4 linked regions of the Stegostoma tigrinum genome follow. The protein of the gene in region 1 purifies or fractionates together with the protein of each later gene. This does not show direct contact. Links are inferred from orthologs where the notes say so. Each region holds a gene or a part of one and is shown in the gene's direction. Other genes may lie near its edges. The genes, in order: amotl2a, protein PALS1-like, lats2 and nf2b.

Evidence for each region.
Region 2: the proteins of amotl2a (region 1) and protein PALS1-like purify together in Homo sapiens (affinity purification with mass spectrometry; 3 studies listed by BioGRID and IntAct, counting the BioPlex papers as one, with this or other methods). This does not show direct contact. The link is inferred for Stegostoma tigrinum from reciprocal best matches to the Homo sapiens genes AMOTL2 and PALS1.
Region 3: the proteins of amotl2a (region 1) and lats2 purify together in Homo sapiens (affinity purification with western blotting; 3 studies listed by BioGRID). This does not show direct contact. The link is inferred for Stegostoma tigrinum from reciprocal best matches to the Homo sapiens genes AMOTL2 and LATS2.
Region 4: the proteins of amotl2a (region 1) and nf2b purify together in Homo sapiens (affinity purification with mass spectrometry; 5 studies listed by BioGRID and IntAct, with this or other methods). This does not show direct contact. The link is inferred for Stegostoma tigrinum from reciprocal best matches to the Homo sapiens genes AMOTL2 and NF2.

The regions. Positions count from the first base shown.
Region 1 is NC_081367.1:1,412,975-1,419,830, reverse strand, and holds the start of amotl2a (angiomotin-like 2a), read left to right. Parts: upstream 1-3,841; 5' UTR 3,842-4,103; intron 4,104-4,238; exon of another isoform or gene 4,239-4,595; intron 4,596-6,030; exon of another isoform or gene 6,031-6,136; intron 6,137-6,856. UniProt on the Homo sapiens protein: Regulates the translocation of phosphorylated SRC to peripheral cell-matrix adhesion sites. Required for proper architecture of actin filaments.
Region 2 is NC_081363.1:69,480,055-69,487,063, reverse strand, and holds the start of protein PALS1-like, read left to right. Parts: upstream 1-4,001; 5' UTR 4,002-4,277; exon of another isoform or gene 4,278-4,401; intron 4,402-7,009. UniProt on the Homo sapiens protein: Plays a role in tight junction biogenesis and in the establishment of cell polarity in epithelial cells.
Region 3 is NC_081359.1:73,335,293-73,342,466, reverse strand, and holds the start of lats2 (serine/threonine-protein kinase LATS2), read left to right. Parts: upstream 1-4,163; 5' UTR 4,164-4,308; coding exon of another isoform or gene 4,309-4,317; intron 4,318-7,174. UniProt on the Homo sapiens protein: Negative regulator of YAP1 in the Hippo signaling pathway that plays a pivotal role in organ size control and tumor suppression by restricting proliferation and promoting apoptosis.
Region 4 is NC_081380.1:17,857,136-17,864,947, forward strand, and holds the start of nf2b (NF2, moesin-ezrin-radixin like (MERLIN) tumor suppressor b), read left to right. Parts: upstream 1-4,802; 5' UTR 4,803-5,001; intron 5,002-7,812. UniProt on the Homo sapiens protein: Probable regulator of the Hippo/SWH (Sav/Wts/Hpo) signaling pathway, a signaling pathway that plays a pivotal role in tumor suppression by restricting proliferation and promoting apoptosis.

The DNA.
Region 1 (6,856 bases):
GCTATTGAGAGAGCCTGAATTGGCTGGAGCTTTATTCCCTGGTGTGTCAGAGACTGAGGGCTGCCCTTCTAAAGGTTTGTAAAAACATGTGGGGCATGGATAGGCTGATTAGCCAAGGTCTTTTCCCCAGGCTAGGTAAGTCCAAAACTAGACGGCATAGGTTTAGCAAGAGAGGAGAAAGATTTAGAAAGAACCTGAGGGGCAACTTTTTCATGCAGATGGTGGTGTGTATTTGGAATGAGCTGCCAGAGGAAGTGGTGAAGGCTGGTACAATTACAACATTTAAAAGGCATCTGGATGGATTCATGAATAGGAAGGGTTTAGAGGGATATGGGCCAAATGCTAGCAAATGGGACTAGATTGATTTAGGATATCTTGATGGCAGGGGTGAGTTGGACCAATAGGTCTATTTCTATGCTGTACATCTTTATGACTGTGTGGCTATGATTATGGCACAACTGCTAGATCTCATTCTTCTGTCTTCCATTTTCAAGTTCTATGTTTCTAACTTTCATTCTTGTATCCCTGATCAAGTTCCCAGCCTTTCTCATTCTCATCCATGACAATGATAGCAAATTCTGTTACAATGACATTGTTTGTGTTCCTGCTGATATGCAACCTGTCCAGCTTGTACAGTTCCCGAGATACCAATTCCAATGCCTCAGGATCTAAATCTCTCCCTCCTACACCACTTTCTTCATGCCAAGTCATTCATTCAAATATTCTATTCTCCTATTTCCAATCCTGCTCATATGTGGTACTGGGAGTAATCCCAAGATTGCTATATTTGTGTTCCGACTGTTTGAATGTATTTCCCAGCTCCCTGTATTCTGCTTGAAGGATCATATTTCTCTTTTTGCCTATGGTCTTGGTTACTGATATTGACTATAGTGTTCTCCCACACTCTTCAGAATACCTTTGATCCTGGCACCAGGGAGACAACACACCATGCTGGAGTCACATCTGCTTCCACAAAACCATTTATCTAATACCCCCATGATTATCATTCACCTTCAGATCTGACTGAACCATATACAACATCATTTCACCTTGCTTCATCACTAAAAATGCTGACATATCCAGGAAGACACAAGAAATGGAAAGCTCCTTGTCTTCACCACTGAATATCTTGGTAAACATTGCTGTCCTGTTCCTTCCACCCTCACCTCCAACATGAAGCACTCATGACTTTCTATTACAAAGACTGAAGAGATCCATTTGGCAGCCTCTACTAATTCAGTCATCTCTTCTGTACTAGGCAAAGCATCCCCTAAGGTTTCTTTCCATCCTAGCTCTGAGCTCGCAACTTTCTGTAGTTTCTCTGCCACTTTGGAGAAAGGCATCAAACCACTCCATCATCAGTTGAACAAAGAGACAGTAAGAGTAATCAAAACTGTAGAGTCACTGATGTTTAAAAATCCATACAAAAACTGTGAATGGCACAATGGCTCAGTGCCAGGGAGCCAGGATTCCATCCGCAGACAACAGTCTGTGTGGACTTTGCACATTCACCCCATGTCTGTGTGGGTTTCATCCGGGCACTCCAATTTCCTCCCACAGTCCAAAGATGTGCAGGTGGATTGGCCATTGGAAATGGCCCACAGGATAGGGATAAGTGAATGGGTGGCATGCTCTTCAGAGGATGTTTGTGGACTTGATGGGAAGAATGTCCTGCTTCCACACTGTAGAGATTCTATAAGGAGCAAGCTGCCTCAGGGATGGTGTATGTGTAGACATCCGATGTCTGAGGTACTCTGGACTGGTATCTCAATGGCAGGCAAGGCAGTCTATAAAACCTGTCTCTATGGACAGACATTTTTTGAACTTTCTTTGAGCTCTTGCCAAGCAGCCAAAACACCCCACTCTCCAATACAGTAATCCAATGACATGAACTGTGCTCCTGCCAACAACTAATCTGCACTAGCTGTATTTTGGTACTCTGTGGTATCACTGAGAACCTGTACTAATATTTATTCCTCTTTAACTAGCCTGTACATCTTCAACTCAGGCACTGTTACTCTTTGACAATCCAATCCCTGGAGTCAAGGCAACTCATTTCTAATTTTATGATTATATGTTTTAATTGCTTGATTCATAACATTTTGATTTTGGATCTGGGCAAAGAGAATTTCTTGGTCCTTTTAGTAGTGACTTAAACAACCTGGAATCAGGGTGATTCCTGCCAGTTGGTGTTCAGGTCTGGTGAAAGAAGTGGGAATTGAAATTTTACTGAAGAGATGGGATAAAGAGGGGATTTCAGAATGACAAAACTCTAACTAGTGTGCCACAGGGATCAGAGCTGGACCCACAAATATTTACAATGTGAATTGATGACTTGGTTGAGGGAAGTAAATATATTATAGACACATTTGCAGATGACACAAAATAGTTGGGAAAGGAAGTGGTGAGGATGATGCAAAGAGTTTGCGAAGGGATACATACAGGTTAAGTGTGGGCAAAATCTTGTCAGAGGGAATATAATGTGGGGAAATGTGAGGTTATGCACTTTGGCAGGAAGTATAGGCGAGCTGAATATTGTTTAAATGGAGAAAGATTGCAGAAAGCTACAGAACAGAGGAAGTCTTCAGCTATGAATCACAAAAGGTTAGCATCCAAATTCAGCTAGTGATAGGAAAGGCAAATGGAATGTTGGCCATTATTTCAAAGCAAGGTATTTAAAAAGGGGAGTCAGACCACAGCTGGAATACTGTGAGCAGTTTGGTCCTCTTCTCTAAGGCAGGATACAGAGGCATACCCTCCAGTCCAGAGAAGGCTCCCTCCTCGTTGTTGAGGGACTGTCATTTGAGGAGAGGCTGAATAAGTTGGGCCTGGATTCATTCGAATTTAGAAACATGAGAGGTGAAATTATTGAAACATATAAGATTTCTAAGAGACTTGCTGGGGGAAGCATGGAGAGATTGTTCCCCCTCGTAGGAGAGTCTACCACTAGAGGGGATCATCTATGAAGAAGGGGGTCTCCCTTTTAAGGCAGAGATAAGGATTTCTTTTCTCTGGGAGGTTGATGAATGGTGGAATTCTTTGCCACAGAGGCAGTGGAGGCCAGATCATCAAGGCTGAGATAGACAGCTGTTTAATTAGCAAGGGAATGGAGGGTTATGGGGCAAAGGTGGGAAAGTGTGCTAAGGATTTATCAGATCAGCCATGACCTTATGGAAAAGTGGAGCAGACTTGACTGGCCGTTTTACATCCGCTCCTGAAGTTTAGTGAGACCATTCGACCTCCAATATGTTTGCCCATTGCCTGCTGGGTGATGGAACTGTGTCCCACATCCCCATTTATCCTTTGTTGTCTCTCTCCCCAGTGCAAATCTCCATACTGGTGATATTGGAGCTCCGCTTTGAAATGTGAGTATCGGACCAGTAAGTGCCACTCGCCAGCTCTTCTTTGTCGTATTTATTATCTTCTGCGGTATGCTGTTAAATAAGAACCAAAAGAATTGCGGAAGCTGTAAATCGGAAACAAAAACGTTGCTGGAAACGCTCAGCAGGTCTGGCAGCATCTGTGGAGGAGAAAAAAAGAGTTAACGTTTCGGGTCCGGTGACCCTTCCACACGGCAATGTGTTCTGAGCTTTTCCAGCAACTTTGTTTTTGTTCCATGCTTTTAAATAAACTCAACTTCAATTCATCTACTTTGAGGGCTTAAAGATTGCATAGCCCCCGGGATTGGGAAGGAGAAGAGTCCCAGATATCCATCGCTCCGGTGTCAATGCAAGCTGCTGTTTGAGTTTCTCCAGCATCGCCCCCCACCCCCCAGTTTAGATGGTATTTTCCGCAGTGTTATCACTCTGTGCTGTGCCGTGAGATTGAACTGTTTGCTCATTGTGTGTGCCCTCTGCAGGTTGAGTCTTGGTGTGCGGTAGGAGCTGCCTTTGATAGAGCCAGGAACGCGCATTCCTGACATTCCTGCCGCTGCTGCATCGCCCCGGCTGCAGCTGGGATCTTGCCATTCCATAGCGAGCAAGCAAACAGGCGGCTAGGGCTGTCCGGTTCCCAGTTCCCACACCACGGTCACTTCCAGCACCGAAATCTGAGCTTGAGGCAGAGCTAGGACTCTGTCCCTGATGTGAAAAACCCCACTCCAGGTCAGTCTCCCATTTCTCATTCTATTATAGTGTCTGTTCAGCCTTTTGGGGACAAGCTCGAACGGATTTCACACTCGAGCCTGCCGAATAGTCTGGAGAAGGTGCGACCTGTTCCGAGTGCTTCCCCCGGGTTCATCTGCTCACGGGAGAGTTATTTGCTCGCCTTACGGGTGTGAGCAGCCGCATTTTCACAGGTCTCAGCCGGAAACTGTCCGCCTCCCCGAGCCGTTTCTCCCAGTGCCGGCGTGAGCTGATCTCCGTCACACAGCCTACTGGCTGCTGAGCTCACTCAACAGGAATGTGCCAGCCAAAAGGAGCCAGTGAAGGAAATATACGCCGACTTAGTCACGATTAGACTGAAATATTCTTCCCGTGTTGCTAAAGATTTCAGATTCAAATTTTCACCCAGTGTTGGTAAAGATTTCGAATTGTAATTTTCACCCAGAGTTGGTAAAGATTTCGGATCGTAATTTTCACCCAGTGTTGGTAAAGGTAATGAGTTATAATGTTCACGCTATAGTGAAGATAAGGATTGTAATATTCACCCCAAGGTGGTAAAGATTTTAGAATGCAATATTGTATTGTAATATTTACTTTTGTATGAAAGATTATAGATTATAAAATCTCTCTGTATTAGTAATTATATTATAGTGCAAAAAATAAAGTGTACCTTTATGTTATTACCGTTTATAAGAGAACAAAAAAACTTAGTTTACTGTAAACTTTACAGATGGGAGAGAACTTTATCAAATAATAATTAAGTTCGTAAACAATTAGGCTCTTTGACATGCTGCAATCTCTGATGCAATTGTTACGCTGAAATTCTTCAATAATCCTTACAGATGTTAATGGCAAGAAAATCTTTTTATGTTTAACATTAGAGATTTTTGAAGAATATTGAAAATATATGGGATGATGGATTAGTGCTGGAGAGTGAAATGAGCAGACTTTTGAGTTGAGTGCAGTAGTGGATTGAAAGATGTTTTCACATTGTTGTGGAATGCATGTTTTGCCCCAGGATGTTGCAGGTTAGTGAATGAGCTATTGTTTTGGAAATTTGCAGGAATTCAGTTCCATTTGCAAGTCTGTTGTATTTTGTTAGTGGCCCCATTCAGGGAAAGCCATACATTAAAAAAAGTAGCCCAACTTTTCAAAATATACCTTTATTTGTGTATCAACTATTAATATCTGATGATCTGCTTTTTTCACCTTCTGCAAATGTATTTTGGGACCAGATCTGTTTCCTGCAAGTTTGAATGGTTAGAAATGGTAATAATTATTATTGGCATTTTAGCTGGAAAAAACACTTGCAATTTTGAGGCAGGGTTTATGAGAGTGGCCTGAAATTCTGTTGATCTGGAGTAAAATCAGAAACACATCTAAATTGGAGGAATAATGGGATCTCTTCACTCTTGATCACCCATCCATTCTCACAATGGACTAAGTGATTTTGTGCTTTCATTACTGCCAGCATTGCCTCAAATCGTTTCAAAAATCTTTGTGACTGTAGTCCAGTGGTCGTGCAGACCCTCCTTTACATGTTTTTTTAATAATCCATTCCAAATTCCTGTCAAACAAGATTTAAAATTTAAAATGAATTTCTCACCTATGTTGTGAGTTTTACAACATGTTGTCTGATATAGTTAAAGATTTAGGATCAGATAAAACACAGGCGGTTTTAAATGTAGGGGCTTTGAGAAGAAATCACTCACGATCTTTAAATTTCACAACTTATTGTGGAAGTTTCCCACAGGATATTCAGGCTAACAATTGCTCAACGTCTCAGCAGCCAATCCCCAACTCCATTTTCCACCCCCCCCCCGCCAGATTCTTGCAATAGTCATTTCATACTCACAATTTAATGTCTGACATTCCTCAAATTCATGCCATTATCTTGTGATGATAAAACAACTACCCTGAGCCTGGATAGCTGTTGTTGCAGCCTGACGTGCTGTCACCAGGGAAACAGTTCCCAGGGGCATGCATGTGGGCAGCATTTGGCTGGGGCAGGCTCTGGAACGCAATGTGACAGGGTTAGTGCTGCTAGATTGTATCCTGTGTCATTTTCTTGGAAATAACTTCAGTATTTTTGCTGAGGACGAGGGGGAGTAAGTGTTGGCAAGTTGTGCACATACTGTTCGAGCTTGAAAGAAACACTGTACGATATAGAGTCCTGTGCTTGCCTGTAAATCACTCATTGTGCCCATTTCACAAACTTACTGCACTGAGAATTCAATGGGCATGTGTAGTTTTGCAATGTTACAATTGATTTCAAGACTTAATTGGTATAAAAAATGTATTGAATTTGGTAGATTGAGGATGCAAGGGAGATTTATTAGAATAGTATCAAGGCAAAGAACACTTGTTATGTGGAGAGATTGAAGAAGCTGGGATTGTTAGTCAGAGAAGGTAAAGGGACTATTTGACAGGTTGTTAAAATGATAAAGGTTTTTGTTTTGGGGAGTTGAAGTGTTCCCATTGGCAACAAAGCTGGATAACTAGAGGACACAGGTTCATAGCGAGTGGTAAAAGAATCTTGGTGGAGAATATTTGAAAAAAGCAACTTTTTATTATCTGCCTGAAAGGGTAATGGAGTTAGCTTCAAGAACTTTCAAAAAATAATTTCCAAAAGGAAACGATTTTCAGGACTGTGTGAAAGCAAAGGGGCTGAAACTGAAACTCATCTGAAGAGTTGACACAAGCATAATGGGCTGAATGGCCTCCTGACCTTATGGGTTCTATGAAGTATGTAA
Region 2 (7,009 bases), on another chromosome or scaffold:
TAACTGAGTGATAAGGGAATTTCCATTGATGCTATTTTGTTTCAGTTCATGCAGGAATTCAAACTGTTGTAACACCATGCATTTTTTCATACATTAGTGGCCTCAAGTTACAAATTGGGATTGTAGAAGCTCCAATATCCTGTTCCACACATGGCTGACCCGGAATTTCTCCCTGATACTCACATTGTTTGGCCACATTGTGAACATGACTCCATTGACCACCTAGTCCTGAATGAGGGATAAACCCAGTGCTTCCAGCTCTGAGGCAGGATAACTAATCACTGCATCATTGACACCTCCCCACATGTTGCTATGGAATAAGAAGAATCAAATAATGCATCTTGTAAGATGTATTAAATACAACTATTTATATTCATTTTAAAGCAAGGAGAATTAAATGTTAGAACATAGAACATAACAGCACAGTACAGGCCCTTTGGCCCTCGATGTTGTGCCAACCTGTCATACCGATCTCAAACCCATCTAACCTACACTATTCCATGTACGTCCATATGCTTGTCCAAATGTTGTCAAATGTTTTCAGAACAATGAATGATGTTTAAATGGGCAAGGTGCTATTTCACAGTTTTATATCTGGAATAATCCTAGATTCAAGTTAGACTAGCTTCAGAACAAAATACTCTCCACACAAAGGCTTTGTATATTCCCAACACAAATGGAAGTTGCTGGAAAAACTCAGCAAGCCTGGCAGCATCTGTGAAGAGAAAATCAGAGTTAATGTTTTGGATCCAATCACCCTTCCTCAGAAGGTTCACCAGATTTGAAACATTAACTCTGATTTTCTCTTCACAGATGTTGCCAGACCTGCTGAGCTCTTCCAGCAACTTGTCCCTGATTTACAGCATCTGCAGTTCTTTTGGTTTTTATTTTGAATATTCCCAAATATTTATTAGGTTTGAAATAATAATAAATTAATTCTGTTTGAATTGATTTATTTCATTTTGAGTATCAATGAAGATCTGACCCATATTTTGGAAGCAGAAACTTTAGTAGTGAAAGAAAACTTCAGAGATGCCCAAAGTTTCAGATGAGGCAAACCAAATCCTCCAAAAACACTCAATTTTATATAAAAACAGAATAGTTATATTCTGTTATTATAGGCATGCTGGATAAAATAAACATTGTCTTCTTGTTTACAACAACAGGACTTTTATAAAAGCAAAAATACTGTAGTGCTGGAAAACAGATAAAAACAGAAAGTGCTGGAGAAACTTAGTGGGTCTGGCAGGATCTGTAGAGAGAGAAAGAGAGTTCATATTTTGAGTTCAGTTTGACTCTTCTTTAGACTTTTATTTGGTATTTGTGTTTCCCAGGTATTTTCCTGTGTGACTGTTTTTGGCATCCTGCTAAACTCAGTGAGAATTTGAGGTGAGGTGCATGAGAGCTGATGTGGGATGGGTGTGTCGGGATGGGGTTAAGGCATCACAACATATGCATCTAATTTAAAATTGCTTTTTAAAAGCCTCACATTTAATTCAGTGGTATTCCATGGGCTCTATTTTACTTCCTTAATTCATAATTTAGTGAGGAAATGGAGGATGGTTAGATGAAAATTAAACGTGTGATAACTTGAGCACAAGTATCGTAGGCTGGTGGTAATATAGTGTTTTTAATATAGCACGTTTACTCAATACATATTTTGAATATTAACATTATAATAGTTATAATAGCCTACGTTAAGAACAACTATCGATTTTAAATCTTTGCAATTTACAATTGTCTTACTTGATAAACATGCTAAATTTTGTCTGTGTCCTTGGTTGGTAAAAATTCGATTCGGAGAAGGGCAGATTTCCATAATCCGGGTAAAATGCGAATTATCTTTAGAAGTGGACTCTTTCTGAAGGGTCTAGGTCCGAAACGTCAACCTTCCTGCTCCTCTGATGCTGCTTGGCCAGCTGTGTTCATCCAGCTCTACACCTCGTTATCTTTTCACAAAACCAGTTGGGCAGGGAATTGTGGCGCTACGGCCCCTATCTCTGGGCCAGAATATGCCGCTTCGAGGGCCACCTGCTCCAGAACAGGTTGATTAAAGATATCTGTCAAACTGTTTATCGGGGAGCAGAAAACACGTAACTGCAAAGGAAGGGAGACTGCGCGGTGGAAAAGACAGTTGGACTCGCTTAAATTATTTTTTTTCTTATTCTTATGAATGGCGCTCTCAAGGTACCCACTTTTCACTGTAGTTTTACACCGAATACACGTGACAATAAATGATTCAATGATTCAAGACAAAACTTGTTACCCATCGTTCGAGACTGTGTGACAGACCTTGCACAAATCTTCGTCGCTAGTCTTAAATACAGTCCATCAAACCGGTGATAGCAGAGAACAGTTAAAGAAAGTAGGGTTATACCTTCAACTACACACACGGAAAATTGGATATTAGAATTTGGTCTTAATGCTTGTTATGCCCCCGAGATGCGTATAATTTTCACGTATCTTTGAAGATATCACGCTTACATGCATCTTCACAGGAACGGATTCTGTGTCCATGAAAAACGACAGGATAGTAACAACTTTTCACTCGCCAAGCGTGCGATCCACAATGTTTTTTTTTCTAAATCTCCAAAATCAGGGAGCTATTTAACAACCTAAGTCAACTTCGTCTATAAAATTTCACACGCCGATTCATAAACTCGCCAATAGCCTGTGCATTCTACAGCATTTTGGACTCGCTTTCATTTTTTAAAAGTTCGTCAAGGCCTACAATTAGCAGCGTCATTAGCTTATCGGAAGATGTAGCCAAACACTCAGAACCAGGGCGGGGGAAGTGGATTGTGACAAGTAATGTGGTTGGTAGGCACCAAACTGAAAACAGATGGGCGTGTATCACAACATTGCGCGATAGCGGGAGGGCAGCAAATCATTTACCCAAATCAGCTCATTGCACTAATTGCAGCAGAGTCTGGAAACTTGGCTGTATTTGAGGCAGATATTGATTCTGAGAATATTTTGTTGATACGAAACCTCCACCTCAGTTGTTTGCAATAATATTTGCCTTTGGTATTCAAGACACGGTGAAGTTATTTGTGGGAATGTTGGAATTAGTTTGTTCTCCCTGACGTCAACGCAAAATGTTGCGGATGCTGGAAATCTGAAATAAAAACAGAAAGTGTTCGAGTTCCCGAAGTAAACGGGACTCGAAACATTCACGTCCCTACAGCCAGATCCGAGTTTCTTCAGCATTTCATATCCTGAGTTTAGCCTTTCTGAGATAACAAGGTGTGGAGCTGCATGAATACAGCAGGCCAAGCAGCATGTTTAGCCTTTCTGATATGACTATCGACCAAGAGCAGCCCAAGCACTCTTGTCTTTCGCAGACGTCCCGCTGAAGTTGACCGTGTTCGGTATTAAGGTCGGGCATGGCATTTTTGTTCAGGCCTCAAACTGAGGCAACCTGTGATCTTTCCAGGGATACTTGGAATTGAGAATTGACACTAGTTTCTGTTTTTTTTCTTGCACCATGTAGCGATTCACCAGTGGAGGGGGATGGGGTGGAAATAAAGGAGTCGCCCGGCAAGACCGCGAAATAGTTTCAGAAAAGTGTTGAGAAGGCTGGCTCCAGTCCCAGGAAGGGATAAGCGGAGGTGCTGGGGTAGATCTGCTTTGCTTCAAGTCTGCAAGAAGACTGCGACAGTCAGGTGTTGTGATTTCCAAAGCTCCCTGAACTAACCCGATCCGATCGAGCCCCTCCTCCTCCTTTCTCCCCTCCGCCGCTGGGATCGCATTGCAAAATAAAACATTCCTGGCGCAGCTCGGGCTTTCACCTTTGTCTCCAGTGAGTGCGCGCGCGCGGCCGGGCTTAAGTTGGAGCAGGCATGCGCGCGCGCGGCCGGGCCTAAGTTGGAGCAGGCATGCGCGCGCATCCATTTCTCCCACACCCACCTCCACTTTCCCTTCACCCGAAACTCAACGAGCTTGTACCTCCCTCTTCCGAAGGGGGCGAGGTTGAGGAGCCCTCGCGAGCGACTGCGCGCACACGCACGGGTCGCGTCCTCAGCCAGGCACAGAGTCCGTTTATTTTTACTCCTCCCTACCCCCGCCCTCCCCCAAGAAAGAACGCACCGCTCGCGGCCGGAGGCAGTTGGAATCCTCCATTCGAGGTGAGGAGGTGTCGAACAAAACAAATCCAACAACCACCCCCGGCAAACACACAGAGTAAGGGGGCTCCGATCGTGAAGCTCCTTCGCTCACAGCCGAGTGTCTGATCTCAGACACCGGCATCAAGCCCGGCTCTCTTTCTCCGTCAACAGGTTAGTGGGTATCAACCGCCAGAAGGAGCTTTCGGCCGTTTTATTCACCCCCCGCCAAGGCGCAAGTTTGTATCGAGAGGAGCCTTTCACTTGGCTTGGGAGTCCGGCCTAGTTTGGGAAAGAGGTGAGAATCGGGTTGGCAAAGGAGAAGAAAAGGCAGGCGGCACGGGGTGGTGGAGGGAGGAAGAGTCGGGCTGGAAAAAAAGTTACTAGGAAATGTTTTTAGCATAAGGTCGAGTCCACGTAGCCTTCTCCCTCTGGTGCCGAAGGAACTCGTCTCAGAGGAAAGAAAAGGCAGGCTATTTTAGCTCTGTATTACTGGGTTTTGGGTGTGTTGGATTCTCCTTTATTTGTCACCGCCCGAGCCTTCGCATCTAATTTACATCCTCCCCGGCAAAGAAGGGAAACTAATTCCCATCTCTGGCCTCTAACCTTCTCAGTTAGGTCCAGCCGTCATGAAATTTTAACCAAGTCTTGTTTTCTAAACAAGTGTAGACAAAAACGAAGTTTGGCATTGTTGCGCGGTGGGATTGTTGGAATATCCTGGGTAGTTGCAGTTGTGGTGGAGATGGGCAGAGTGGTGCTTCTGGATGTTGTGCTGGTTCACAAGGTTAGACTGAAAATAATTCACAGCAGCGTCAATGCTGCATGATTTCGCCAGAATTAAAATGCAGTAATTCCACAAGAGATGTCCTTCCAGTTTAGAAACTCCAATTCAGCTTTCGGCAATTGGGTGCCCGGGGCGGGTGCTTTCGGTGTGAAGGTGGGTTGGGTGCGGAATAGAAACTTTGCTGGACGAGGGAAAAGAAGGGCAATTTAAAGTTAGTTGGATAGCTATAGTTTTAAACATTAAAATGAAACTCGGAAAGGACACCTCATGGACTAATTTACGATTCAAAATACCACTGATAACAAAGCCAAATGTGAAAAGCGTAACGATAAACTTAGAAACTAACAGGGACAAGGAGAAAATAAGCGTAAGTCAACGGTCTTTTATGACTATCATAAACAATGACAGGACGATCAAAGGCAGGATTTGGCGATTGAGGACCAGAAAGATCGACTTGAACTGGCAGAGAGCACGACTAAGGCAATTTACAAGTATTTGCATCTGTTTGTTAAAAATAAGAGACTGTGGTTTTAGAATCAAAATATATAAAAAGACGTATTTAAAAGCAAGCAGTTCTCGAAAAAAGAACAGCTACATCGTCCAGATGGGATGCCTGCCATATTATTGACCGAGGTACAGGTGGAAATTACAAACGCTGTAGTCGTAATCTCTCAATTTTGTATGCTGTGGGGCACTACCAAAGGATTTAACATGTTTAAAGTGGGATAAAGCAGCAATTATGGGCTAATTAGGTTAGCATCAAAAGAAGCTTTTAGCACCAATAATCTGGACAAAATTAAGTGATGTTTGGATCAATATTGAGTAATCATTTGAAGTCTGGATTTGTTAAAGCAGGTTATGTTTGACTTATTTGTCAAGTTCTTCACAGTAAAAGACTATTGTGATGATGAACATGATTGTGTGTGTTTTCAGAAATTCCTTGTTACTGAATTGATAGACCACGGGGTTTGGGGAAATCTGGCAACATGGATATAAAGTTTAAGTGAAGAAAGTAAACAGTAGTGGTTAATGGAGTAGTAACAAAGTTGGAAATACTCAGTGGATCCTGCAGCATCTTTATAAAGAGAAACTGTTAATGTTTCAGGTCAATGACTTTTCCTCATTAAAGATGAATGCTGTTTCAGGCTGGAGGGATGTACGCATTAGGATCACTGATCTTTTTGCTATTGATTAGCCTAGATTTGGTACAGCAGATATAATTTTAAAGTTTGTGTTGTACAGAGCTTGGAAATGTAGTAATTAATGAGGCGAGAAACAAGACTTCAAGGTGACTGAAGTGCACTAGCAAATGATTGATGACCTATAAATTAAGAGAAGTTTGAAATGATATGTTTTACAATCAATGATGACAGGCCAGATGAACTAAAATGTGCACATGTTAAAATTGGTATAGGAATGTATACAAATTGCTACAGGTCGTAGGATGAGATGCCAAGGCTTTATTTGATGGTGAGTTGTTGTGATCCAGAATGTTTTCTGAAGTGATAATAGAAACAGAATCGTAAATTTGAAAGTGAATTGAATAAACACTCAAAGGAAAATAATTACAAGACTGTGGGGTGTGACATTAACTGGACAGTTCTACCAAAGAGCCAGGCACTGACCTGATTCAGTCATTCTATAACTTATGGTCTGACAATGGATTTTGAGATTGAATGAAACTGGTACTTTTTTTCCCCCCTAAGTATATAACTTAGAGTTTGAATAAGAGAGATGCATCTTAGAATGAAATTTATTTTGAAACTCCTAAGTTTCTTCAAAGTTTAAGATGTAAGTTTATTTTTACTTTTCCATGTGATCTATTTTGTGCTATTTGTACTGACAATGCAGTTTTGTGTCTGCAGTTACAATACTACTGCTAGGAATTAGCTGTGTGAGTTGAGACAATGGTGATGAGCTGGCTTTGCAAAACAGAAGTTCATTATGGAATTTAAGGTGAAGTTGAACAGCAGCACTTAATTGGAGTTGTTGGATTCTTGGAACCATGTGCTATGGCTCATTCAGCTATTTGAATTACTATTTATTTCACTGTAACTATTGTAATAATACTGTGTTAGGTATGTGCTGATCCAGCACGTGAACTTAAGATCAAGTTTTCAGT
Region 3 (7,174 bases), on another chromosome or scaffold:
TGCAGAAACAGAGGAGGGAAGACAGAGCAAGAGAAACTGAGTGGCAGAAACAGAGGATGAGAAACAAGAAATGAGAATCAGAGGGTGAGACGCAGAGAATGAGAAAGAGAGGAAGAGAAACAGGGACTGAAAAGGGCAGAAACTGAGAATGAGAAACCCAGAATGAGAGCAACAGAGCAGAAATAGAAGGACAGAAACAAAAGTCAGAAGCAAAGAATGGGAAAAAGAGAATGAGAAATAGAGGGGCAGAAAGAGAGAATGAGAGACAATCGATGAGATTGAGAGGTGCCGAAGCAGGGCTTTTCATCAAAGGATGAGAAACAGAACGTGAGAATCAGAGGGTGAAAAAGAGAGAATGAGAACCAGGAGTAGAGACAAATGGGGTGAAACAGAAAGGCAGAAACTGAGGATGAGAAACAGAGAATGGAAACAACAGGCCCGAAACAGAAGCACAGAAACAGAGAATGAGAAACAAAGAATGAGAAAAAGAGGGACAGAAAGAGAGAGAGAAATAGACAATGAGAATCAGAGGAGAAGAGACAAAGCTGTTGGAACAGTGAGAAATAAACTGAGGATGAGAATTAGAGAATGAGAAACAGGGGATTAGGAACAGAGGGACAGAAACAGAGGATGAGAAAGAGTTTGGGAAACAGATGATTAAAACCCAAGGAGGAGAAACAGAGGATTAGAAGCAGAGAGGCAGAAACAGAGGGGCAGAAACAGAGGGGCAAAAACAGAGCATGAGAAACAGAGGAAGAGAACCAGAGAAAGAGAATCAGAGGATGAGAAACAGTGGATAAAAAACAGGTGGGCAAAAACAGAGGGACAGTAACAGAGGATGAGAAGCAGAGGACAAGATGCAGAGAGGCAGAAACAGTGCATGAGAAACAGAGGTTGAGAAACAGAAGAGGAGAAACAGGTGGGCAAATGTAGCCAGCCAGAAGGAGGGGACAGAAACAGAGGAAGAGAAACAGAGGATGAGAATGAGAGGTTGGGAAGCAGAGTTTGGCAAACAATGATGAGGAACAGAGCAAGAGAAACAGAGGAAGAAAAACAGAGGGGCAGAAATGAAAGGGCATAAGTAGTGGGGCAGAAAGAGAGGGTCGCAGAGGATGAGAGACAGAGGGATACAAACAGATGATTAAATCCCGGTGCAGAATCAGAGAAAGAGAAACAGAAGCAGAGGATGGGAAACAACGGAATACAAACACATGAGTGAAAACAGAAGATGAGTAACACAGGGGCAGGAACAGAGGGACAGAAACAAAGGATGCGAAACAGAGGAAGAGAAACAGTGGGCCAGACACAGAGGATGAGAAACAAGGTTGGGAAACAGAGGACGAGAAACACTGTTTGAGAAGCAGAGGATGAGAAACACTTGAGCAGAAACAGAGGGTGAAAAAAGAGGATGAGAAACACTGGATGACAAACAGACACACAGAAATAGACGTGCAGAAACAAAAGATGGCAATAAGAGTGGCAGAAACGGAGGATGAGAAACAGAGGATGAGAAACAGAGTGGAAAAACATAAAATAAGAAACACGAGGAGAAACAGAGGATGAGAAACAGATCATGAGAAACAGATGGGCTGGAACAAAGGATGAGAAACAGACTGGCAGAAACAGAGAATGCAAAACAGAGGACGAGAAACAGAGCGCCAGAAACAGAGAGTGGGAAAACAGAAAACAAGAAACACATGAGGAGAAACAGAGGATGAGAAACAGATGGGGTGAAACAGAGTATGAGAAACAGAGTGGCAGAATTAGGGAATGAGAAACAGCAGCAGAAACAAAGGCGGTAAAACAGACGATGAGACACAAAAGATGGGAAACAGAGTGACAGAAACAGAGGCCGAGAAATAGAAGATGAGAAACAGAGGATGAGAAACGCTGTGGCATAAACAGCAATATAAACATTGGTGAGAAACAGAGTGGCAGAGACAGAGGATGAGAAACATGATAAAGTATTGGGGAAGCAATAATTAGAAGTTTTGCTGAAATAACGATTTACCATAAATTTTGGAATGTGTGCCTGTGTTTGTAACAACCTGAAGGTTGCAGCTGTTCTCCCACGGCTGGGGCTGCTTCCTCTATTCAATGTAACAGTGTTAACTGCACTACTTATCTGCTTATGACGCATGTGAACAGTATGGGATGTGATAACATTTAGTCATGTCGGATAGTGAAATATGTATGTTAATCACACACGTGAGGGCTATAAATTGTACTACTTTTATGCTATGCATAGAGGTCTGACGAGAGTCCACCAGTGAGAGCTTGACTGTTACTCTGGTATTGACTCCGGAGCTCTCGCTGGCTAAGCTAAAATAAAGAAGTTAATGGAACTCTTGCGGGGTCTGGAAGTTTTTGAGTCAACAAACAGAGGATCAGAAACAGAGGATGAGAAACGGAGTGGCAGAAACATAAAATGAGAAACTCATGAAGAGACACAGTGGATGAGAAACAGAGTGGCAGAAACAGAGGCCAAGAAATAGAAGATGAGAAACAAAGCATGATAATAGTGGTGATGGAAACAGATGACGAGAAAAAAAGAGAATGAAACGGATGCAGAGAAACAAAGTATGAGAAACACAATCGCAGAAACAGAGGATGAGAAACAGAAGATCAGAAACAGTGGTAGAAACAGAGCATGAGAAACTGAGTGGCAGAAACAGAAGATGAGAGAGAAAGCATGAAAACACAATGGCAGAACGAAAGGATGAGAAACAGAGGCAGAAACAAGGAGTAAGTAACACAGCAGCAGAAACAGAGAATGAGAAACATGAGGCGAAACAGAGGATGAAAAACAGTGACAGAAACAGAGGGTGAGAAGCAGAGGATCAGAAACAGAGTGGCAGAAACAGAGGATGATACCATAGAAGATGAGAAATACAGTGGCAGAAACAGAGGACGAGAAACTATCTAGATAGCTAGGATAATAAAATGTGAGGCTGGATGAACACAGCAGGCCCAGCAGCATCTCAGGAGCACAAAAGCTGACGTTTCAGGCCTAGACCCTTCATCAGAATTAGAGATAGCTACTTCTTTTTGGATATTATTTTGCTAGCCATTAGGGCTGGGAACACATCTGCCTTTAGCCCCATTACTTTGTCTAATCCTACTTCACTAGCAATGGTACTTAGTTCTTCTCCCACGCTTTTTGGTATTAGTGGGATGTTCAAAGTATCTTCCACTGTAATCTCTTATGTATTCTCTTATCTTGATTAGGCAGCTCAAATGCACGCTGCTTTTGACTGAATTCCATTTGCCATTTTCCTGTCAATTTGACCACTGCAGTGATGTTATCATGCTGTTTACAACCACCTTGTATCATCTGTATCTTTAGTAAGGATTTTTATTACATATTGTTTGCCAGATTAGTTAAGAAGTTAAGAACCCATTGGATCCAGGGCAATTTGAAAAATTAGCTTAGGTCGGGCAGTATCAGGGGAGCGGGAAAGCTGACGTTTCGGGTGAATTCTTCAGAAATTTCTGAAAAATTCTATTCTGAAAAAAATCCTACTTCTACTGTGTCTGCAATGGGTTTCCTCGCACAGCCCAAAAATGTGCAGATTGGGTGGATGCGTTGACCACAGTAAATGCGGGGTTACAGCGATAGGGTGCGGGCTTGGAGGGTCAGCGCAGTCTCGATTGGGCCAAACGGCCTTTTCCGCACTGTGTGGATGGTATGACTTTGATCATCAAACCAGCTACGGAAAGGCTGGTGGAACTTGATTCAATGGTGACTTTCAAAAGGAAATTGCAAAAAATGCTTTTAAAACTTCAGGGAAACGCACGGCATGTTAAAAAGAGCAGGAAAGTGAAATTACATACATCTTTGCAAGAACCAGCACTAGCCGAATAGTCATAATAAACTCTTTTTGTTCCGAGAAATAGTGTTCAGTTTGCTTTTGAATGCTATTACGTTGAACACCACAAGTTCTAGTTAGATTTCGTTGACATTTAGATGTGGGTTCAAGGGCACCACAGGCCTAAAGTTCAGCTCGGTATTGAGTAATCGGATACCAAATTCCACGACCAAACCTCCGCCCCGCCTCCTCGTCGAATGCCAGCGCAGCGACGCACGCGGGCGCGCGCGGCCACGTGACTGAGATGGAATGAAAACAATGCGACGCGTAACTGTCAATCAGGAAGTTCGGAAGCTCCGCCCACATACTGTGGCGTTGGGATGGGTGAGGAGAAAATAGATTTCCATCACAGTTGAGAACTCTCGTACAGGCTTCTCTCAAACGAACGGACAAACACAAAAGAATAAAATTAAACCCTTGGGAAAACCAACTCAACTAAATGGCGAAAGTAAGGAAAAGCATAAGATTGACTATTTTAGTTTTGGAATTGCATTATCGTATTTAACTTGTGTCTAGCTTATGTATAACATTTAAAGGCCCAGATTTTACATCAACTTCTGTTACTGTAGAAAATTAGATTCTGTGAGACTTAATTTCCTTAAATATCATTATGATAACAAGGTGTAGAGCTGAATGAACACAGCAGGCCAAGCAGCATCAGAGGAGCAGGAAAGCTGACGTTTTGGGCCTCGACCCCTCTCACCCCATTACCGTGTGATGCTTGCTGATAATTTATAAGACTGACCGTGTTTATGGCATGCCTTTTCTGTGACATTTGTTGGTATTAGTCATTTTGTGAGACGGGTTTTTAACGTCCACGATGCTGACCGATTGAAATATATTTTCAGAGATAATAGGAACTGCAGATGCTGGAAAATCCAAGATTACAAAGTGTGGAGCTGGATGAACACAGCAGGCCAAGCAGCATTTTAGGAGCACAAAAGCTGATGTTTCGGGCCGAGACACTTCATCAGAGAGGGGGATGGGGAGAGGGTTCTGGAATAAATGGGGAAAGAGGGGGAGGCGGACCGAAGATGGAGAGAAAAGAAGATAGGTGGAGAGGAGAATATAGGTAGGGAGGGGATAGGTCAGTCCAGGGAAGACGGACAGGTTAAGGAGGTGGGATGGGGTTAGTAGGTAGGAAATGGAGTTGCGGCTTGAGATGGGAGGAAGGGATGGGTGAGAGGAAGAACAGATTAGGGAGGCAGAGACAGGCTGGGCTGGTTTTGGGATGCAGTTGGGGGAGGGGATGAGCTGGGCTGGTTGTGTGATGCAGCGGGGGGAGGAGACAAACTGGGCTGGTTTTGGGATGCGGTGGGGGAAGGGGAGGTTTTGAAGCTGGTGAAGTCCACATTGATACCATTGGGCTGCAGGGTTCCCAAGTGGAATATGAGTTGCTGTTCCTGCAAACTTTGGGTGGCATCCTTGTGGCACTGCGGGGGGAAAGTTGCAGTCCCTCCCACCCACAGCCTCCAACCTCATTGTTCCCCAAACCTGCACGGCCCGTTTCTATCTCCTTCCCAAAATCCACAAACCTGCCTGCCCTGGTCGACCCATTGTCTCAGCCTGTTGCTGCCTCACCGAACTCATCTCCACCTATCTGGACTCCATTTTCTCCCCTTCGGTCCAGGAATTCCCTACCTACGTCTGTGACACCACCCATGCCCTCCACCTCCTCCAGGACTTCCAATTCCCTGGCCCCCAACACCTCTCTTTCACCATGGAAGTCCAGTCCCTATACACCTGTATTCCTCATGCAGATGGCCTCAAGGCCCTCCGCTTCTTCCTGTCACGCAGGCCCGATCAGTCCCCCTCGCCGAACTAGTCCTCACCCTCAACAACTTCTCTTTCGATTCCTCCCACTTCCTACAGACCAAGGGGGTGGCCATGGGCCCCAGCTATGCGAGCCTCTTTGTAGGTTACGTGGAACAGTCTCTCTTCCGCACCTACACAGGCCCCAAACCCCACCTCTTCCTCCGGTACATTGATGACTGTATCGGCGCCGCCTCTTGCTCCCCAGAGGAACTCGAACAGTTCATCCACTTCACCAACACCTTCCACCCCAACCTCAAGTTCACCTGGGCCATCTTCAACACATCCCTCAACTTCCTGGACCTCTCAGTCTCCATCTCAGGCAACCAGCTAGTAACTGATGTCCATTTCAAGCCCACCAACTCCCACAGCTACCTAGAATACATCTCCTCCCACCCACCCTCCTGCAAAAATTCCATCCCCTATTCCCAGTTCCTCCGCGTCCGCCGCATCTGCTCGCAGGATGAGGCATTCCACTCCCGCACATCCCAGATGTCCAAGTTCTTCAAGGACTGCAACTTGCCCCCCGCAGTGGTCGAGAACGCCCTTGACTGCGTCTCCCGCATTTCCCACAATACATCCCTCACACCCCGTCCCTGCCACAACCGCCCTAAGAGGATCCCCCTCGTTCTCACACACCACCCCACCAACCTCCGGATACGACGCATCATCCTCCGACACTTCCGCCATCTACAAGCCGACCCCACCACCCAACACATTTTTCCATCCCCACCCTCGTCTGCCTTCCGGAGAGACCGCTCTCTCCGTGACTCCCTTGTTCGCTCCACTCTGCCCCTCCAACCCCACCACACCCGGCATTTCCCCTGCAACTGCAGGAATTGCTACACTTGCCCCACACCTCCTCCCTCACCCCCATCCCAGGCCCCAAGATGACTTTCCACATTAAGCAGAGGTTCACCTGCACATCTGCCAATGTGGTATACTGTATCCATTGTACTCGGTGTGGCTGCCCCAACATTGGGGAAACCAAGCAGAGGCTTGGGGACCGCTTTGCAGAACACCTCTGCTCGGTTCGCAATAAACAACTGCACCTCCCAGTCACGAACCATTTTAATTCCCCCTCCCATTCTTCAGATGACATGTCCATCATGGGCCTCCTGCAGTGCCACCAGGATGCCACCCAAAGGTTGCAGGAACAGCAACTCATATTCCACTTGGGAACTCTGCAGCCCAATGGTATCAATGTGGACTTCACCAGCTTCAAAATCTCCCGTTTCCCCCACCACATCCCAAAACCAGCCCAGTTTGTCCCCTCCCCCCACTGCACCACACAACCAGACCAGCTCATCCCCTCCCCCAACTGCATCCCAAAATCAGTCCAGCCTGTCTCTGCCTCCCTAACCTGTTCTTCCTCTCACCCATCCCTTCCTCCCACCTCAAGCCGCACCTCCATTTCCTACCTAGTACCTCATCCAACCTCCTTCACCTGTCCGTCTTGCCTGGACTGACCTATCCCCTCCCCACCTATCTTC
Region 4 (7,812 bases), on another chromosome or scaffold:
GGAATGAACTAGAGAATAGTTGATGTCTAAAGTTGAAATAATGTATGTCTGTCTGCCAAAAATAGAGACCAGATGTAGTTACCTGTACATGCATGTGCTACGTTGCGACCCCAAATGACAATCTTAAATTAGTTGTAAACATATTTCTTACCAAACTTAGGCTTAGTTAGGAAATTTATCCAATCTCATATTTTATGCTGGACAATCTTTGAATTTTGCAAGTACAGGCTGATTGTATGGTCAGTTTCTCGCATGTTGGAACCAGCTGAAGGAGTGATAATGGGAACTGCAGATGCTGGAGAATCCGAGATAATAAAATGTGAGGCTGGATGAACACAGCAGGCCAAGCAGCGTCTCAGGAGCACAAAAGCTGACGTTTCGGGCCTAGACCCTTCATCAGAGAGGGGGATGGGGGTGAGGGTTCTGGAATATATAGGGAGAGAGGGCAAGGCGGACCGAAGATGGAGAGAAAAGAAGATAGGTGGAGAGGAGAGTATAGGTGGGGAGGTAGGGAGGGGATAGGTCAGTCCAGGGAAGACAGACAGGTCAAGGAGGTGGGATGAGGTTAGTAGGTAGGAGATGGAGGTGCGGCTTGGGGTGGGAGGAAGGGATGGGTGAGAGGAAGAACAGGTTAGGGAGGCAGAGACGGGTTGGACTGGTTTTGGGATGCAGTGGGTGGAGCTGGGCTGGTTGTGTGGTGCAGTGGGGGGAGGGGACGAACTGGGCTGGTTTTGGGATGCGGTGGGGGAAGGGGAGATTTTGAAGCTGGTGAAGTCCACACTGATACCATTGGGCTGCAGGGTTCCCAAGCGGAATATGAGTTGCTGTTCCTGCAACTTCGGGTGGCATCATTGTGGCACTACAGGAGGCCCATGATGGACATGTCCTCAAAAGAATGGGAGGGGGAGTGGAAATGGTTTGCGACTGGGAGGTGCAGTTGTTTATTGCGAACCGAGTGGAGGTGTTCTGCAAAGCGGTCCCCAAGCCTCCGCTTGGTTTCCCCAACGTAGAGGAAGCCACGCCGGGTACAGTGGATGCAGTATACCACATTGGCAGATGTGCAGGTGAACCTCTGCTTAATGTGGAAAGTCATCTTGGGGCCTGGGATGGGGTGAGGGAGGAGGTGTGGGGGCAAGTGTAGCATTTCCTGCGGTTGCAGGGGAAGGTGCCGGGTGTGGTGGGGTTGGAGGGCAGTGTGGAGCGAACAAGGGAGTCATGGAGAGAGTGGTGTCTCCGGAAAGCAGACATGGGTGGGGATGGAAAAATGTCTTGGGTGGTGGGGTCAGATTATAGATGGCGGAAGTGTCGGAGGATGATGCGTTGTATCCGGAGGTTGGTCGGGTGGTGTGTGAGAACGAGGGGGATCCTCTTTGGGCAGTTGTGGCGGGGGCGGGGTGTGAGGAATGTGTTGCGGGAAATGCGGGAGACGCGGTCAAGGGCGTTCTCGACCACTGTGGGGGGAAAGTTGCAGTCCTTGAAGAACTTGGACATCTGGGATGTGCGGGAGTGGAATGCCTCATCGTGGGAGCAGATGCGGCGGAGGCGGAGGAATTGGGAATAGGGGATGGAATTTTTGCAGGAGGGTGGGTGGGAGGAGGTGGGCTTGAAATGGACATCAGTTACAAGCTGGTTGCCTGAGATGGAGACTGAGAGATCCAGGAAGGTGCGGGATGTGCTGGAGATGGCCCAGGTGAACTGAAGGTTGGGGTGGAAGGTGTTGAAGTGGATGAACTGTTCAAGCTCCTCTGGGGAGCAAGAGGCGGCGCCGATACAGTCATCAATGTAACGGAGGAAGAAGTGGAGTTTGGGACCTGTGTTACAATCCGACCCCACCACCCAAGACATTTTTCCATCCCCACCCATGTCTGCTTTCCGGAGAGACCACTCTCTCCGTGACTTCCTTGTTCGCTCCACACTACCCTCCAACCCCATCACACCCGGCACCTTCCCCTGCAAACGCAGGAAATGCTACACTTGCCCCCACACCTCCCCCCTCACCCCTATCCCAGGCCCCAAGATGACTTTCCACATTAAGCAGAGGTTCACCTGCACATCTGCCAATGCGGTATACTGCATCCACTGTACCCGGCGTGGCTTCCTCTACATTGGGGAAACCAAGCAAAGGCTTGGGGACCGCTTTGCAGAACACCTCCGCTCGGTTCGCAATAAACAACTGCACCTCCCAGTCGCAAACCATTTCCACTCCCCCTCCCATTCTTTAGAGGACATGTCCATCATGGGCCTCCTGCAGTGCCACAATGATGCCACCCAAAGGTTGCAGGAACAGCAACTCATATTCCGCTTGGGAACCCTGCAGCCCAATGGTATCAATGTGGACTTCACCAGCTTTAAAATCTCCCCTTCCCCCACCGCATCCCAAAACCAGCCCAGTTCATCCCCGCCCCCCACTGCACCACACAACCAGCCCAGTTCTTCCCCTCCACCCACTGCATCCTAAAATCAGTCCAACCCGTCTCTGCCTCCCTAACCTGTTCTTCCTCTCACCCATCCCTTACTCCCACCCCAAGCCGCACCTCCATCTCCTACCAACTAACCTCATCCCTCCTCCTTGACCTGTCCGTCTTCCCTGGACTGACCTATCCCCTTCCCACCTATACTCTCCTCTCCACCTATCTTCTTTTCTCTCCATCTTCGGTCCGCCTTCTCCTCTCTCCCTATTTATTCCAGAACCCTCACCCCATCCCCCTCTCTGATGAAGGGTCTAGGCCTGAAACGTCAGCTTTTGTGCTCCTGAGATGCTGCTGGGCCTGCTGTGTTCATCGAGCCTCACATTTTATTAACCAGCTGAAGGATTCGGGTTGATAAGATCTGCCTATTTTCGGGACATATGGTCCACACTAATCTCTCCTTCAAACACATTAGTATTTCTTTCTATCATGATTTCAGAAGTACTTGGAAGCAAGGCTTCGAAATAAATGCATTATATAATAATGTTATATAATAAGGCTTATCCCTTTCAACACCACCAACATTGGTTACATCTTCCTTATTCAGTGAAATTCTCATTTTCGTCTATAAAAGAATTCAGAAGATTTTGAGAACTTCGGACATTGCTACACTCGGATAACATGAGAAGAGAATAAGAGAATTTGACCAAATAATGCACGGCAATAATTATTAGCTTGGGGTCTTAAAGCAAAATATAAGAAATAAGTAAGACTTTTGTGTAATGTTTTCCTCTTATCGATGTTGTTTACTACCTCCTAATCACGTAGAAGAAGCACCTTGATGTGCCATGAACATACCTGATCGGGTCCACTCCTCCCGGATAGAGAATTTCGAAGAGACGGACACTTCCGCTGGCAGCAGCGCATGCGCGGTACCTCTGCCTGAGGTGTGCACATGCGCGCAATGTCCTCGCCTATGTTCTATGTTGCGGGTTATCTCGGCATTTGGAGCTAAAATGGGTTCGCAAGTCGGCCTTATGATCTGAACACGAAGATTGTACATGTAGATCTAAATTCAATTCCACCCCAGTCCCCTTGATTTTACCTTTCTTTTCAAAAGTGCGGGTTATGGTTGTCTTTTGAGTGGTAACGTTCTTGCTTGAGTCAGAAGGTTCTGGATTGTGTGAAATGCTACAGTGTCGGAGGTGCTTTTTTGATGAAATGTTAAATCTGCTGCAAAAACAGAAATTGCTGGAAAAAGTCAGCAGGTTTTATGTTAAAGTTGCACGATAATAATCCAGTAGCATTATTCTAAGGGCAGGGGAATTATCCTTAGTGTGCTGACCGACATTCACTGCATTCTCTATCAACATTAGAAAACAGATTGTCTAACCATTCATAGTGCTGTAATAAAGCTAAAACAAAAACAAATTGCTGGAGACACGCAGGTCTGGCCGCATCTGTGAGAAGAAAGTTAACGTTTCGAGTCCAATGACTTCACCAGAACCGATTCATTTTGCTGTTTCTGGGTGTTTGCTGTGTGTAAATTCGCTTTTGTTTTTACATTAGAACATCGTCTTTCAGTTCAAACATATTATCGGGTAAAGCGCTGGGGGACGTCTTTTTGTTCTTCCCCCGGACTGTCACAGAAAACACATCGCGAATCTGTGCGGTATCTTAGCGAAGGCTGAAAATACGTTCCATACATATTCAGCGAGAAGGTATTAATCACGTCAACGGTGTGAAAAGTGACTACTGCATCCTACAAGTGAATAAAAACAGAAGGAGTGAAGTTGTCTTGCTGGAGAAAAGAGGAAGGCAGTATTGCTACGGGATTAAAGGAAGGGAGTTGTAGGAGGAATGAGGAAGAAGGGGTGATGTGGAAACCAAGACCTAGAGAAACTCAACAAGTCTGGCAATACCTGTGGAGAGAAAGCAGAGTCAAATGAGTAACCCCGTCATGGAAACGTTAGTTCTGTTTTCTCTCCTAAGATGCTGCTCGACTTGCTGAGTTTCTCCTGCAGTTTCTGTTTGAGATTTCCAGCATCCCCAATTCTTTTATAGAGATAGTTGGAACTGCTGATGCTGGAGTCTGAGATAACAAGGTGTAGAGCTGGAGGAACACAGCAGGCCAGGGAGCAGCATCCTTCGGGTCCCGACCCGAAACGTCAGCTTACCTAGATAACAAAGTGTGGAGCTGGATGAACACAGCAGGCCAAACAGCATCTTAGGAGCACAAAAGCCGACGTTTCGGGCCTAATCGCTTCATCAGAAAAAAGTCAGCTTTCCTGTTCCTGCAGCTCCGCACTGGGTTATCCTAAATTTTTCAGGTGTCGCCTGGGCTGCTGGCCGGTCCTCCCACCGGGAGGGTGCGCTCCATTGCAGTTGGCCGCTGTCGCTCCGTGGAGCCGCGGTGCTGGGCAGGCGCAGGGCCGGACGGAATGAACCGATTCTGGATGTCGCTCGTAGAGCTGAGTCCGTGACATTGTTCAGTGCCGGTGGCCGAGAGTGGCCGCTGTTGGACAGTCCGGGCTGACCGTCAGCTTCACACGGCAGTGCCTGTAACTGCAGGCCCGGGGCTCGGTCTTTGTCGGTGAGTATCGGCAGTGAGCACTGGCTGAATCCTGAATGGAGCCAAGCCTAAAGAAAATGAACTTATTCAAATGAGATGATAATTTACTGGGGAATGTTGCGGTAACATTTTCAATTATGGTTGGACAGAACAGGGTAACTATTGTTTAGGCCTTCAGAATTGTTTGATCCTGATATAGTATGTGCTGGATTGTGAAATCTGAATCATATTTGTATTTTGTGAGGTCGGTATTTGTGGATATCTCTCCACTCGAGATAAACAATAACCAGAATGGCCAGTGATGCGAATTGAGAAATAACCTTAGTAATTTTAGCCATCTGGAACTGCCTTTGAACTTGTCACACTTTTTATGGTTTCTTACAACTTACTGCGGAGCCTAAGTCTCACTGCACCAAACACACACACAATAAATGATGCACAGATTGAAATAAATCTTCCTTTTTCTTCCATTTTATTCTCAAATCAGTTTAAAGTAGCAAGCGCCTCTCAAAACACCTACATGTGCTTTGAGAGGCCACTGTTGTGGGGGGAAAGAACTCACAAGTCTGTAAGAAAAAGTGTCAAACATTTCATAACTGCCAGAGGAAAGACGTTGAGGATACAGGCGAACAGAATGAGCCAGGCAATTGTCACTGTAAATTATAATAGCAGAAGTAGGCCATTGGGTCCATCAATTCCCAACCTCATTCAGTGAAATCATGGTTGATCTGATAATTCTAAATCATCATATCATATTTGTTCGTGAGAGAAGCTTTTGATTGCATATCTACAACATCACTAAGATTGACTATTTTTAACATTTATTCTGCCTCAGCTCATCTGTAAATCCCATTTCATGCCTTTGCTTTAGATTTGATTTAATCTAATGCGCGGCTGCCCATTCTCCATGTTCTTCCCATGTTATAGGTAATCCAAAATTCTGATGGCCATCTCCTTATTTGCATCAAGTCCTGGTCACCAATGATCACTGTGATCACTGATATAGATTGACCTAATGCCTTGATGATAAAACTCATGCTTGATTTTAAACCTAACACCTCCAACTGTTTTGCCTCTCCCTATCTCTGTGATTTGTTTTGCCTCCACAAAATTTTGAGATAACTGCCCGCTCCTGATTCTGGCCCCTTAATCAGTCCTGATTTTAACTGTTCTAATGTTCATGCTGTGTGATTAGCTGCCAGTTCTCTCAACATTAGAAGCCCTGTATTCTCCTGCCTTCCAATGTAAAACATCTTCTGCATTCTCTGCCCACTGTCTCTTTGTTAAGATAATTCCTAAAAAGCTTGCTAAGACCTTATCTGGCTTGCTAGATACAGTTTTGGTTCCCTTATCCAAAAAAAATATACTTCTTTGATCATATTTTGACATGTTGAATATTGCCATTTGAGATTTAGTGTCAGAGTTTTCTTTACAGTATAGAATGCACCTGTGAAGTGCCGACATAAGTTTTATTTAAAGTACTATATAGGTTATTAATTTATCCATCCAGAAATTCTTTAAAACCTGTCTGCCAGTTAAGCAAAGATGAGGAGCACACCATTCAGTCAATCAAAAACCTGCTCCATTGTTCAATTAGATCATGACCTCAGTATTCATGTCCCTTGATGTCTTTAGAATCCAGAAACCTATTGATTTTTCTGTCACGAACGTTCTAATGATTAAACATCCACAACACTCTGGGCTAGAGAATTGCAAAGAATCACTACCCTCTATGTTAAGAAATTTTTACAACTCTTAATCTTAAATGGCCAACCTCTTGAGATTATGACCAGAGATAATGGGAACTGCAGATGCTGGAGAATCCAGGATAATAAAGTGTGGAGCTGGATAAACACAGCAGGCCAAGCAGCATCTCAGGAGCACAAAAGCTGACATTTCAGGCCTAGATCCTTCATCAGAAAAGGGGGATGAGGCAAGGATTCTGAAATAAATAGGGAGAGAGGGGGAGGCGGACTTAAGATGGATAGAGGAGAAGATAGGTGGTGGGGAGGTAAGGAGGGGATAGGTCAGTCTGGGGAGAATGGACTGGTTAAGGGGGTGGGATGAGGTTAGTAGGTAGGAAATGGAGGTGCAGCTTGAGGTGGGAGGAGGGGATAGGTGAGAGGAAGAACAGGTTAGGCAGGCGGGGATGAGCTGGGCTGGGTTTGGGATGCAGTGGGGGAGGGGAGATTTTGAAGCTGGTGAAATCCACATTGATACCGTTGGGCTGCAGGGTTCCATGTCCATCCTAGGCCTCCTGCAGTGCCATAATGATGCCACCCATAGGTTGCAGGAACAGCAATTCATATTCCGCTTGGGAACCCTGCAGCCCAATGGTATCAATGTGGATTTCACCAGCTTCAAAATATCCCCTCCCCCCACTGCATCCCAAAACCAGCCCAGCTCATCCCCGTCTGCCTAACCTGTTCTTCCTCTCACTTATCCCCTCCTCCCACCTCAAGCTGTGCCTCCATTTCCTAACCTCATCCTGCTCCCTTGACCTGTCTGTTCTCCCCAGACTGACCTATCCCCTCCTTACCACCCATACTCTCCTCTCCACCTATCTTCTCCTCTATCCATCTTCAGTCCGCCTCCCCCTCTTTCCCTATTTATTTCAGAGTCCTCTTCCCAAACCCCTTTTCTGATGAAGGGTCTAGGCCCAAATTGTCAGCTTTTGTGCTCCTAAGATGCTGCTTGGTCTGCTGTGTTCATTCAGCCCCACACTTTGTTATCTTGAGATTATGACCCCTGGTTTTAGACTCACCATTCAAGAGAATCGTTTATCTACATGTATCCTGTCAGAGCTTATAGAAATTCTATACATTTTGGTGA